Linked DNA regions of Caenorhabditis elegans. The protein of the gene in region 1 purifies or fractionates together with the protein of each later gene. This does not show direct contact. Each region holds a gene or a part of one and is shown in the gene's direction. Other genes may lie near its edges.

Region 1 (4,427 bases):
TATTTTACTGTTTTGCTATACATTAATTCCAATTCGTGCGACGTCTGCAGCAAACGCGCTCCCGCTCCAAAACCACTTTTTTCGCTGTTCTCTCCAGATTTGAGGCGCTGTGTATTATTGCTAATTAGCACTGCTTTTTTGCTAATTAGCAATGGTTTGCTAATTAGCCATGGTTTTAAGCTAATTAGTTCTGGTTTTTTGGCCGTTTTGCCTAATTAGCAGTGATTTTGAGTCGGTTAGCCGTGACTCGCACCTGTCTATTAAACGAGATTTCAACCATATTTGTTTAGAAAATCCGTATTGCATTATATTTGCTCCATATTAGATTAGAAATCCATGTTAGATTAGATTTCCTCCATATTTCATTAGAAGACAAATCTAATCTAATATGGTCGAAATCTAATCCAATATGGTCGAAATCTAATCCAATATGGCACGATCTCAGCCATATTTGATTAGATTTCGACCATATTGGATTAGATTTCGGCCATATTGGATTAGATTTGTTCCATATTGGATTAGATTTCGGCCATATTGGATTAGATTTGTTCCACATTGGATTAGATTTCAACCATATTTGATTAGAAAATCCATATTGGATTAGAATAGGAAGCCTATTAATTATGTCCCCATTATATTTGCTCAGTTTCTAATCAAATATGGTTGAAATCTAATTAAACTACTAAGCGTTTGTCTGAGTATACTCGCTCGCTGAGCCATTTTGGCTCGATCCTGTCGCTGAGACCTTCTTCAGACCCTTCCTCTCTTTGGCGTTGGCTTTTGTGTTGAAAAAATTTTAATTTCCAAAAGATCAAATAGTAAAACAGTATTTGCCCTGAATTCAAATCATGAACCTAATTTAAATTCTCACGTGTGACATTTTTTAAGTGCTTAAAAACGATTGAAAAACTGATCGATTCTCTCTCAAAAAAAAGATTGCTGCTAGAATTTTTTCAGTCGCGAATATTTTTTTAATTCATAAAATTTCTCTCAAATATTTGATCAAATGTGCACTCAAAGAAATTCTATGCCTGCCAAAAAAGTTTTTCCTGCTCATGGCCTAAAACTACCCTTTTCCCGGTCAGCGGCCGCGGGGAGGTCTCGCAACGAAATGACGTTTCACTGGTTGTTCGTTGGAGATTTTCATCTTTTAAGCTGATTTTTAATAGTTTCTAGCTTTAAATTTTTTGTTTTTAATTGAAAATCGAGTTATTTATGTCCCTAAATATGCTATACACTTTAAATTTCATTGAATTTGGATTAAATGGCGACGTAATTAGAGAAATTTGAAATTATTGGTGTCGTACTCCGTACTTTAAGTTTTTTGAAGCATCAACAAAATTTTTAATATATTTCCATCATTATCTCAAAACTTCACACGATTTTTTCCTAGTTTTTCCGAATTTTTACTCGATTTTTATTGGAACTCTTCACAGAACAATATAAGTTTAGATGTTTTCAATATTTAATATTGATAACCGTACTTAACTAAAATGTAATACAATTAAATTAATTATTAAACTTTCCCGTAGCATATAAGCGTAAAACCAACGTGTACTTAATTTTTCTGCTTTTTTTCCCATTTCGATGCCATTATTTCGTTTCAGAGTATTTCACAATGGTGTTGATCGCCGCTTGCATCCTCTCGAAGACGGGAAAATTGCTTGTTGCCCGGCAGTTCGTAAATGACATGATGAGATCTCGTTTGGAAGGGCTCGTTGATGCTTTCCCGAAGCTTATTGGGAATGAGAAGGAAGCTGGTCAGTTAAAAAAAGTACTATGTATATTGGAAACCCTTAGACATTAATTTTATTTCTGATTTTTAAACATTAAATTGTTTTCAGCTACTCGTCAACATACATTTGTCGAGACAGACAGCGTCCGCTACGTTTATCACCCTCTGGACAACATTTACCTTGTGTTGGTGACAACGAAAAACTCGAACATTCTCGAGGACTTGGAAACTTTACGCCTTTTCGTACGAGTCATTCCAGAGTATTGCCGCTCAAATGAGGAGAAAGAGATTCTTGCTCACGATTTTGATCTGATTTTTGCATTCGATGAGGTCGTCACTCTCGGATACCGCGAGAGCGTCAATCTTGCTCAAATCAGAACTTTCACAGAGATGGATTCTCATGAGGAAAGAGTTTTTATGCAGATCAAGGAAGCTCAAGAGAAAGCTGCCAAGCAGGCAATGGCTGAAAAGGCCAAGGAACTCAAGAGAGCTCAGAAGGAGGCTTTGAGCAGAGGGCTCAAGCCAAGTTATCAATCAAGCACAGGAATCTCTTCATCATCCACTCCAAATGCAGCTGCAGTTTCTGAGCCAGCGGCTCCACGACCATCGGCACCGAAGGGACCAATTGGAGGTGGAAAGGCACTGAAGTTGGGAGGAAAAACGAATAATGAAGATGATTTCTTGGATACATTGAGACAACAAGGTCAAAGCATTGCACCAGTACAGAAAGCTAGTCTTTCAGGTAATCAACTTTTTTTGATATTAAATTTATTTTACATATAAATTTTATAATTTTCAGGAGGAGTTTCCTCTCTCGCCGCACCGATCTCCACAGCTCCACGTGTCAAGAGAGAAGTCGTTCACGTTAGAACTGAAGAGAAAATTAATACCCGTGTCAGTCGTGATGGAGGGCTCGAATCAGGAGAAGTACAAGCCACTGTTACCCTCTCTATTGGATCTCCCGAATTTATTCCAATTTCAATTAAAATGAATAATGGATCTGCAGCTGGAACTCAACTTCAAGTTCATCCAAATCTCGATAAGAAGGAATGGCAATCTTCGTCGACACTGAAAATTAAGCCGAACGGAAAACCATATCCAGTTAACTCAGATGTGGGAATTCTCAAATGGAAAATGGCACTTTCCGAAGAAGAGCAGTTGCCAATTTCTTGTAAGTTAGAAGACAAACAATTCACAATTGTATTGGTATAATTTTCAACCATTTTGCAAATTTCAGTCAATTGCTGGCCTCAAGAATCATCTGATGGAGTCCAAGTCAATATTGAGTACACATTGCAAAGAGAGGACATCACTTTGAACAATGTTCGCATCATTGTGCCACTTCCGTGAGTTTTTCAAAGTTTATTTTGACAATTTTGGTATACATATCAGTCCTGCCGTGTTTTCCAACAAAAACCTTTTAGTTCTCTTGGTTTTTCCAAAATCTGAAAAAAAAATTTTAAGTTTTCAAAAACCCAAAAATTTTCGTTCAGTTTACAATTTTCCGGCTTATCGTTTTGTTGGTTTTGCTTGAATGAAAACAGAAAAAATATTCGAAGGCACCTTTATCATTCCATATCATGTGAGTAAGTATTATTTTTCAGAACTGCGACAGCTCCATCCGTTGGTGAGTGTGATGGAGAATATGAGTACCACAAGACGAAGAACGTGATTGTTTGGTCCTTAGCTGTGATTGACAGCTCGAACTCTTCGGGAACCCTTGAATTCTCAGTTCCAAATGGCCATTGTGATCATTTCTTCCCTGTCTCCGTTGGATTCACTTCTGAAAACTTGTTTGTGCCGATTACTGTACAAAAAGTTGTGAAAAATGATGGATCGCCGGTAACTTATTCAGTGGAGACTACTTTCAACTCGGAAAATTTCGAAATTGTGTAATTTATTCCTATTCGAGAGATCTTCAAGATTGATATTTTTATTGCTTCCAATACCACCACCAAGCCACTAATTTTTCTAGAGATTCATGATTCCTTTTTTGCAAATCATGTTATCCCTTTGATTGCTGTGATGCATAAGCCACTCTCCTCCGACCCAATTCATACTGTATTTATTGAGAATATTTTAATTTATGTATGCTCTTCTATTTATTTCCATTTCTTTTGGGTTTTACGGATACATTTTTTTTGTACGATTGTTTTTCAAACATTTCAATGAGAATATAGAATCGAGTAGTCAGTATCAGAGTATCAGTATCAGTAGAGTATCAGAGGTGGGCGGATATTTTTTCGGATATTTTCTAATAATGAATTTATCAATAAGTATTGATGTAGTTATTCTGGAAGAAATGTATCCGAACCAAAGAGTAACTATTAAGCAACATTTTAATATGATAAAACCTAGAAAAATTCTACAAGTTTTCCTTACCGAGACCTTAAAACTTATTAGCCGAGCAACATCGGATATCGGATACTACGGATATTACGGATATCGGATAATGGACTTGCATATCGTTTATACAGAAAACTTGTAGAATTTTTCTAGGTTTTATCATATTAAAATGTTGCTTAATAGTTACTCTTTTGTTCGGATACATTTCTTCCAGAATAACTACATCAATACTTATTGATAAATTCATTATTAGAAAATATCCGAAAAAAATATCCGCCCACCTCTGGTTTAAATTGAATATTCATTAGAGCTGATCTAGAAGCAAAATCTGAATATCCATCACATT
Region 2 (4,703 bases), on another chromosome or scaffold:
GATTTGCCCGCCGCTGTGTCACGGGGTACGGTGGATGGCGAGAACCACGTCACTGTGCGAGAAATCTAGATTCCAATCTTTTTCCGGCGATTTACGTGGATTTTTGCCGGTTTTCAGCGGATTTTTTCGTTTTTTCGTGGGTTTTTGAGGTTAAAAATTGATTTTTGAAGCTTTTAAAGCTATATTTCAGTCGAAAAAGCGGCAAAAATCGATAAAAAACAGGTAGAAAGAGTGAAAAGTGACGTGGCGTTGAATTAGGTCAATTTAAATCAATTTGTCGTTGAAAATTGGGTTTTACAGCTTTAAAGCCTAGATTTCTGTCAAAAAATCAATAAAAACCAGGCGAAATGAGAGAATTTTGTGAAAAATCAAGTTTCGCAACTTTTTCCGTAGTTTTCTGTGGATTTTTGCGATTTTTTTCCATTAGAAATTCGATTTTCTGTGTTTTTTGCAGAAAAAGTTACAGTTTTTGCTGAAAAATGCGATTTTTTCAGGCAAAAACGACAAAAAATCCCATTATCAGCAGAATTTTGGTGGTTTTCTCAGTATTTTTTTCTGAAAAATGCAATTTTTTCAGCCAAAACTGGCAAAAATTGCATTATTAGCAACAATTTGTGTGATTTTTCAGATTTCTAGCTGAAAAATGCAATTTTTTTCAGCTAAAACTAACAAAAATCGCATTTTTTGTGGATTTTTGCAACTTTTCGCGTTTTTTTTTCCATTAAAAATTAAGTTTTAAGGCAAAAAAAGCGAATTTTCGCGGGGTTTTACCACAAAAAAAAACCGAGGGAAAGGCGAATTTTGCATACAATTGTCCAAAAAATTGAATTTTTTCAATTTTTTTACAAGAACAGTCAGAAAATTTGCATTTTTAGTAAAAAATTTGGCATTTTTTACTGAAAAAATGGAAAAAATCGATTGAAAATGGGGATTTTTAGCCGAAAATTTGGAAATTTTCAGTAAAAATCTGATTTTTTTAGCTTAAAAACCGATATTTTTCGATTTTTAAGCTAAAAAATTGATTTTTTCAGTGAAAAATGGAAAAAATCGATTGAAAATGGGGATTTTTAGCCGAAAATTTGGAAATTTTCAGTAAAAATCTGATTTTTTAGCTTAAAAACCGATATTTTTCGATTTTTAAGCTAAAAAATTGATTTTTTCAGTGAAAAATGGAAAAAATCGATTGAAAATGGGGATTGTTAGCCGAAAATTTGGAAATTTTCAGTAAACACCTAATTTTTAGGTTAAAAGCCGGGATTTTCCGATTTTTACGCCAAAAAACGGAATTTTTGACTAAAAAATCGGGTTTTCAGCTGGATTTCGAAGAGTTTTAGGGTTAAAAATGGTCAAAAATTCAATTTTTCTGATGTTTTTGATTTTTCTGATGTTTTTGAGCATTTTTCATGCTTCAGAGTGATTTTCTTGTCATTTACAGCGTTTTTTGATGATTTTTATCCATTTTCTGACGTTTTTGGGCATTTTTCATGCTTAAAGGCGATTTTCGGGGGTTTTCCAGCGTATTTTGACGATTTTTATTCATTTTCTGGCGTTTTTCGATGATTTTCGATGATTTTTCACAGAAAAATGCGATTTAGCTGGAAAATTCAATTTTTTCACAAATTTTTTTTTAAAACGTGAACTTTCTCTACTTTTTTCTTTCTTTTCCCCACAAAAAACCCGAATTTCCAGCTCCTCCACAATGAGCTCCGGAGAGCAACCATGCTACACACTCATCCACGTGCCCAGTGACGCTGAGCTCCCATCAGAAGCTCAATTGAAGGAAAAATTCGAGAAAGGAGGCGATAAAGAGCGAATTGAGGCGCTCAAAAAGCTCATTTACATGATTTTAAACGGAGAAAAAACGTCGCAGAGCATGCTAATGTACGTCATCCGCTTCTGTCTTCCATCCAATGAGCACACCCTTAAAAAAGTGCTCTTGATCTTCTGGGAATGTGTTCCGAAGACGGATTCCAATGGAAAGCTGCTCCACGAGATGATTCTGGTGTGCGATGCCTACCGAAAAGACCTTCAACACCCGAATGAGTTCGTTCGCGGTTCGACCCTTCGGTTTTTGTGCAAACTCCGTGAGCCCGAGCTTCTCGAGCCGCTTATGCCGGCGATTAGAGCTTGTTTGGAGCATCGGCACTCGTATGTTCGTCGTAACGCTGTCTGCGCGATTTTCACTATTTATAGTGAGTTTTTTTGGGCTTATTTAGGCCTGAAATGGGCTTGAAAATGCGAAAAATGACTTTTTTCCAAGAATTTTCACCTTTTATTGCATATTTTACGTTATTTAGTTGATAAAAGGTACATTTATTGCAAAAAATCGCATTTTTAGCTGAAAATTGGCGAATTTTTCAGCCAAGAACGGCTAAAATCGCATTTTTAGCCGAAATTTGAGGGTTTCTTAAGATTTTTGATTTTTTGCTCCAAAATGCGATTTTCTAGGCTCATTTTCGGTGAAATTTGCGATTTTTTGCGAAAAAATCCCTTTATTAGCTGAAAATTGGCGAATTTTTCAGCCAAAAATGGCAAAAATCGCATTTTTAGCCGAAATTTGAAGGTTTCTTCAGTTTTTTTTGGTGAAAATTGCGATTTCTCATGTTTTTTGAGCTGAAAAATACGATTTTTTACAATTTTTATGCCAAAAAACACATTTTTAGCTGAAAATGCGATTTTGTCAGCCAAAAATGGCAAAAATCCCATTTTCAGCTAAAATTTGGGGTTTTTTTTTCAGTTTTTTTGCTGAAAAATACGATTTTTCATGATTTTTCAAGAAAAATCACATTTCCAACGAAATTCTGACTATTTTTCGCTGAAAAACGGCAAAAATGCCAATATTCAGCTGAAAAATGAGCATTTTGTCTGATTTTTGTTGCCAAAAATCGATTATTAAGCTGGAAGATGGAAAAAAAATTCGACTTTTTGATGTTTTAAGCTAAAAATACGTAAAATTTCGTTATTTTAAGCAGAAAAATCGAATTTTTCAGGGAAAAACCTGAAAAACTTGCAGATTTCCAGCTAAAAATGTCATATTTTCTGCAAAAAAACCAGGAAAAATCGTATTTTTCAGCTAAAAATGCGAGTTTGGTCTTGAAATGCACCTTAATTAACGAAAAATCAATGGAAATATGCAATAAAAGGTGAAAATTTGAGAAAAAACCAACTTCGGGACCGGAAAATTGACCAAAATTAATGATTTTAGCTAAAATTAGGTGATTTTTTCGCATTTTTTGATCATTTTTTCCCCGTTTAATCCAAAAATCCCGCTTTTTTTCCAGAAAACTTTGAATTCCTGATCCCAGACGCACCGGAGCTCGTCACAGAATACCTTGAACAGGAGCAAGATGCTTCGTGCAAGCGTAACGCTTTTATGATGCTCCTTCACGTAGATCAAGCTCGTGCTCTTGACTATTTATCGGGATGTATCGATCAAGTCGGATCTTTTGGAGATATATTGCAGCTCGTTATTGTTGAACTCATTTATAAGGTGCATTCTGTGGAAAATTGACTGAAAATATCGATTTTTTGAGAAAAAACCCGTAAAAATGGGGTTTTTTTCGTTGAAAATCGAAGAATTTTCATTAAAAACGGCGATTTTCAAGAAAATTGCGGTTTTTTAAGGAAAAATCTGACAAAACCCTGTAAAAATGGGGTTTTTTTTTTTGTTAAAAAACGGAGAATTTCCATTAAAAACGGCACTTTTTTTATGAAAATTAACTGAAAATGTGAATTTTAGAGTAAAAAAGCTATAAAAATGGCGTTTTTTCGTTGAAAAATGGAGAATTTACATTAAAAACGGCGATTTTCAAGAAAATTGATTGAAAATATCGATTTTTTGAGAAAAACTTGTTAAACAGGCTATTTTTGTTTTAAAAAAACGGAGAATTTTCATTTAAAACGTCGCTTTTTATGAAAATTGAATGAAAATATGAACTTTTAAGCAAAAATCTCAGAAAAATCGTGAAAATCTAGAAATTTCACTATAAAAATGTGTGAAAATCGATTTTTAATTTTAAAATTAACTAAAAATTGGTTTTTTCAACGAAAATACGATAAATTTATCGAAAAATATGATTTTCCTCCAATTTTAACCGAAAAAACTGAAAAAAAATGGCCGAAATCATCCAAAAACTCCAATTTTCTTTCAGGTTTGCCACAATAATCCAAACGAGGCTTCCCGATTCATCAGATGTGTCTACAATCTTCTTCAGTCATCATCACCAGCCGTTAGGTGAGGAAAATCTTGGAAAAATGACGGATTTTCCTGGAAAAAATGGACAAAAAATCGCCAACACCATAAAAATTGTGCGATTTTAGCGAAAAAACTGGAAAATTACGATTTTTAGACCCCAAAACCTTAAAAATTCAGCGATTTTCTCGAAAAATAGCCTGAAAAAATGAAAAATGTTGAGTTTTTTTTTTTCGAAAAAAATGCTCCAAAACCTGGAAATTGTGCAATTTTTTCGTTAATAAGCTGAAAAATAATTAAATCTTTATTTTTTCTTGAAAAACCTATCAAAATTCTCAAAAAAATCGAGTTTTAGACGCCAAAAGCCCCAAAACCGTGAAAATTTCGCGTTTTTCTGAAAAAAAAAAAGATAAAAAGTTAGAAAATTACCGTCTTTAGACCCCGAAATCTTGAAAATTCCGCGATTTTTGTCAAAAAAAAATAGGCGAAAAATCAGATAATTGCAGTTTTG
Region 3 (5,242 bases), on another chromosome or scaffold:
TTTCAACATGCGGGACCGCCCAGAGACTGTTCGCGATGCGATTTACTTCATTTTAATATAAATTTTCCCCCAAATAAGCTCGAAATGAGCTCTGAATTTCGGCGGATCTGAAAATTTTTTTTGACCAAAAACAGAATTTTGCAAATAAAAATTGATTTTAGAGCAATTTATTGCATAAATATTCAATTTTAGAATTTTTACTAATAGTTTGAATCTTTTTAAAGTGTTTTAGTCATTAATTTGACTGATAACACAGAAAATGATTTTTCTTTACAACGAAATCGATAAAAAAGTAAAGCAACATTTATCAAGGGAAATCTTGCAAAATTGGTTAAAAAACTTGTATGAAATCAAAGATTTCACTAGAATAAAGCTACAAATCAATCAAAATCACTAAAAGTACAAATAGTTCTGATCAAATTTCAATGTTCCAATCTACCAATGGATCTATGCCACGCCAAATTTCTTATGCAAGTGTTGCTCTCCAATTTTCCTTAAAAAATGGATCAAATACTCACATAAATGATCAAATTAACATTTTTTACAAGTTTCGTGTTATATTTTCTTTTTCTTAATAAGGAACCATCAGGTTCTTCCTGCCCTCTACGGCTCTAGATACCTCAACTTCGACAACTCCTATCTACTCGGAGAGGTGAGAGAACTTGTAGAGCACATCAAAAACTATGATATTCAATTTAACCTGCGTTTTTATCTTTCAAGATGGGGGAGTTAGACGTACATTTGTATTGCATGCTTTTTGTTATTCTACTGGCTGCTCTAACTCCCTCATCTTAAGAGATAAACACATGATTTTAACTAATTAGTATAGTTTCTACAATTTCCTAGTTAATCACTTTTTGATATCTTGCATCTCTGAGGAGATAGGAGTTGTCGAAGATACAGTATCTATAGCTATGCGCATATGAAGAATCTAATGGATTCTCATCATGCTATACTACTTATCATCTGCTTTTTGTGGGAAACAATGATTCAAAAATGTTTTTTCAAATGATCAAACAAGTTGTGATTTGATCTGAACATTTAGTGTTGGTTTAGTGAAGATCAGCTGCCAACTAAACAGTTTCCGTTGATGTGGGCATTTTTGAACAATTTCAAGACGTGAAACCGTGTTATCTCTATCAAGCTGACGTTTAAAAATTGGAATCAAACATATTAATGCTTGAAAAAATTTGTTTCGCGTAGAAATTTTGTCATAAAGTTAACTTGTTCTAGTCGGTTCGAAAATCAATGAAAAAGCAGCCAAATCGTGAATTTGTTGAATAAAATGTTTTTTAAAACTTTTTTAAAGCAATAATAATCCCAATATTTAATTATTTTTTCCAAATTTCATCTTGAAAACTCGAATAATCGCGAAATTTCGTCTGAAACTCATTTAATACCGTAAAAGTGTGCAAACGCGCTCCGTTGGACTTTCCTATTCTCGATTTTCTTAACTCTCCCGATTTGAGGCGCTGTGTTTTCCTGTTAAAATGCGTTTGTCAACGTTGACAACTCAACTACGGTTGCCAATGCGTGTTTGCGTACACACTCGATCCCACGCGCAACTGCATACGCCGCGTTGGTTTTAATTCCATCTTTTTTAAATTTATTTTCGGCGTTTGTATTGATTTTTGCTGTGTATTCCTTTAACATGAACTGATTTTTGTCCATGATAACTTTTGAACAACTTAATATTCATTATCGCATTTTTCTTACATTTATTTCCAGGTAATCATCCGAACAATTATGAAATCTCTAGTTATCTTTCTGTCAGCTATCGTTCTTGCCCATTCTCTGAGGTTCTACGTGCCACCAAAAGAGAAAAAGTGTCTGAAAGAGGAAATTCACAAGGTAAATACTTTTACAACTCCTTGTTACCATAGCAGTAAAGATGTCAAACATACTTTTTTTCGTTAAAAATTGATATATTTAATAAACATCAGAATTTATGTCTAATAAAACCTCTTGCAGAATGTGGTCGTAACAGGAGAATATGAGTTCAGTCAAGGAATTCAATACACTGGAAGTATTCACGTGAGTAAAAATAGTTTCAAAATTACTTCAAATTTTTAATTTATTTTCAGGTCACCGACACCAGAGGCCACACTCTCTACAAACGTGAAAACTTTGCTGATCTAAAAGGAAAATTCGCGTTCACTGCTGACGAATACGACATCTTTGAGATTTGCATTGAGAATCATCCACCAGCTGGGCATCCTGGAGAGAAGCGCGAGGTTTCTCTTATTTTGAAGCACGGAGTCGAAGCCAAGAATTATGATGATATTGCCAAAGCCGAGAAGCTGAAGCCACTCGAGGTTGAACTTAGAAGATTGGAGGATATGGCTGATTCAATCACCAAAGATTTCGCATTCATGCGCCAAAGAGAGGAAGAAATGAGAAATACGAACGGTAAGTGTTTAAAAAATCATTTGAATCATATAAAAGGTTCGTAATTATTTTAATTTAAAAATAATGCATTGCCGATTATCCAAGTACAGTGCTCCACATAATGATACGGCCACCCCCAAATTTTGGTATAACTCAAAACTGGGTTGAGATAGCAAAACATAATTTCTTGTGAAAATGTCCGCTGTACTGGCTAACTTTCAGATAAGTATTGGAAATATACATGAACCGTTCGTAAAAAAAGATAAACCATTTTTTCATGAAAATCCATATAAAAAAATCCACAAAATGATACGGCCACCCTTGGTTATTGTTTTCTTTTTTCGTTTTCTTTGCAATTTTTTTTGCTAAACGTTAGGTTTCATGTTCGTTTGTGTTTTTACAGCTATGTGTCGTGGAATAACTTTAACTGACTACGGAAAAAGACAAATTGTGCAAAATTATCTCAAGGCTTTTCGGATCGTCAGATTTCTCGTGATTTGAAACGTTCGAGAGATATGATCATTCGATATGCTTCAAATCCTGCCGCTCATTGCACCAAACAGTCTTCTGGTCGCCCACCACTTCTTTCTGGTAGAGACAAGCGAAAAATCGTTCGTCGAGCATCAAATTGAACAGTGACTTTCTCAAAAATTAGGCGCGAGATGAACCTGCCAGTGTCTGTTGAGACTGCACGACGTGTTCTTTCGAATTCCCAGTTTATCAAAAGACGAAAATTGAGAAAGGCTCCTTTCATTACCGAAAAAACCGCTAAAATCGTATTCAGTTAGCTAAAATCAGCCAGAGAACTAACTGGAGACAAGTGAAGATTACCGTATGATCATTCAAGCCCAATTTTGGTTTTAGTTCATCTTTTCTTCTCTCAAATCGTACCAGTAATCACGGTAGCCTTCTGGTTCATCACAGTTAAACTTTTCCTCGTCACTGAAGATGATCTGAGACCAATACATGAGCTTGAATGATCATACCGTAATCCTCACTTGTCTCCAGTTAGTTCTCTGGCTGATTTTAGCAAACTGAATACGACTTTGGCAGTGTTTTTCGGTAATGAAAGGAGCCTTTCCTAATTTTCGTCTTTTGATAAACTGAGACTTCGAAATAACACGTCGTGCAGTCTCAACAGACACTGGCAGGTTCATCTCGCGCCTAATTTTTGAGCAAGTCACTGTTCAATTGGATGCTAGACGAACGATTTTTCGCTTGTCTCTACCAGAAAGAAGTGGTGGGCGACCAGAAGACTTTTTGGTGCAATAAGTGGCAGGATTTGAAGCAAATCGAGTGATCATATCTCTTGAACGTTTCAAATCACGAAAAATCTGACGATCCGAAAAGCCTTGAGATAATTTTGCACAATTCGTCTTTTTCCGTAGTCAGTTAAAGTTATTCCACGACACATAGCTGTAAAAACACAAACGAACATAAAACCTAACGTTTAGCAAAAAAAAATTGCAAAGAAAACGAAAAAAGAAAACAAAAACCAAGGGTGGCCGTATCATTTTGTGGATTTTTTTATATGGATTTTCATGAAAAAATGGTTTATCTTTTTTTACGAACGGTTCATGTATATTTCCAATACTTATCTGAAAGTTAGCCAGTACAGCGGACATTTTCACAAGAAATTATGTTTTGCTATCTCAACCCAGTTTTGAGTTATACCAAAATTTGGGGGTGGCCGTATCATTATGTGGAGCACTGTATTAAGCTTTTATTATCATTGTTAATTAAATAGATTTGTAAGGCTACAACATATCGTTTCGAGACGCAATTCATTCTCTTCACGGAGCAGGATATTGTGATCCCTGGAAATTGTTTACCACTTTACTTGAGCAAACTCTAATTATTCGATTCATCGACAACCATCTATTTTTTACTTTTTTTTACAGAATCGACAAACAGCCGAGTTCTTTACCTGTCCATCTTTTCAATGCTGTGCCTTCTTGGTCTTGCCATTTGGCAAGTTCTTTTCCTCCGTAATTACTTCAAGTCGAAAAAGCTTATCGACTAGATTTCCCCAACCCTTAATTTATGATTAATTTATCAATTTTTTTTTCGGTTCTCCTCAACTTCTTGCTTTTCCCCCAACATCTCTTTTGTCCACACACCCAAACGTTTCATGTGATTTCTAATTGGTTCCCACATCTTTTTTACTAGATAATGATGATAATGAGTATTTTATTTTGTTGGATTTTAGTTGTTTCCTCCCCCGTTAATCTGCACAAGTATCAACAAAGGGTAAAATGTATAGTGTGTAATGTTTCCGTCTTATTTTTCTGTTTTCATCATTGCCGTTTTTTAAAATCATTATTATGAACTTTTAAATTGAAACATTGAAACATCAATTGGTAATTTACTCACCATATGGTGATTTAGTAAAGTACATAAGATCACTTTTCAAGAAGTCTTTTTCAGACGTCATCCTTTCAGAAATAACTTCAGACTTCATTCTCCACCAGTTCACTTACAACAATGATCGGTCTACATATTTTCCACTACGCCGGCTTTTTCGGAGCACAAATCTTCAATACTGTTCTGGCAATATTAATTGTGAAAAGAGCTGGAAAACTGTTTGGTAGTTACCGTCATGTTATGTTTGTATTCACATTTTGTTCGATGTTGTACTCTGCAGTAGAGATAATTGCACAGCCGGTACGATACAATAGAAAATTGGAACTTGAAATTGAAATTTTGAGAATGTTACTTCAAATAATCGTCTTTCAGGTACTATACATGAAAGGTCCAATGTTTGTCGTGTTTCTTGATAATAACGTTTTTTCTCAAGGCATTGGAAATGTAGTTGCTTGTTAGTTTTAAACATTTTACTTTTCATAGAACTCTT

Evidence for each region.
Region 2: the proteins of copd-1 (region 1) and copb-1 fractionate together in Caenorhabditis elegans (co-fractionation; one large-scale study listed by BioGRID). This does not show direct contact.
Region 3: the proteins of copd-1 (region 1) and tmed-10 fractionate together in Caenorhabditis elegans (co-fractionation; one large-scale study listed by BioGRID). This does not show direct contact.

Annotation. Positions count from the first base shown.
Region 1 is NC_003281.10:6,622,153-6,626,579, reverse strand, and holds copd-1 (putative coatomer subunit delta), read left to right. Parts: upstream 1-1,607; 5' UTR 1,608-1,618; coding exon 1,619-1,760; intron 1,761-1,844; coding exon 1,845-2,477; intron 2,478-2,534; coding exon 2,535-2,906; intron 2,907-2,972; coding exon 2,973-3,081; intron 3,082-3,286; exon of another isoform or gene 3,287-3,339; coding exon 3,340-3,631; 3' UTR 3,632-3,880; downstream 3,881-4,427. Other genes in the region: C13B9.2 (glycerate kinase type-2 family protein), read right to left, coding at 4,386-4,427. UniProt on the Caenorhabditis elegans protein: The coatomer is a cytosolic protein complex that binds to dilysine motifs and reversibly associates with Golgi non-clathrin-coated vesicles, which further mediate biosynthetic protein transport from the ER, via the Golgi up to the trans Golgi network.
Region 2 is NC_003280.10:3,077,107-3,081,809, forward strand, and holds the start of copb-1 (Coatomer subunit beta), read left to right. Parts: upstream 1-1,689; 5' UTR 1,690-1,699; coding exon 1,700-2,192; intron 2,193-3,281; coding exon 3,282-3,490; intron 3,491-4,151; coding exon 4,152-4,234; intron 4,235-4,703.
Region 3 is NC_003283.11:11,323,451-11,328,692, reverse strand, and holds tmed-10 (GOLD domain-containing protein), read left to right. Parts: upstream 1-1,728; 5' UTR 1,729-1,746; coding exon 1,747-1,851; intron 1,852-1,971; coding exon 1,972-2,034; intron 2,035-2,084; coding exon 2,085-2,409; intron 2,410-4,289; coding exon 4,290-4,411; 3' UTR 4,412-4,728; downstream 4,729-5,242. Other genes in the region: str-141 (Serpentine receptor class r-10), read left to right, coding at 4,873-5,052, 5,125-5,206.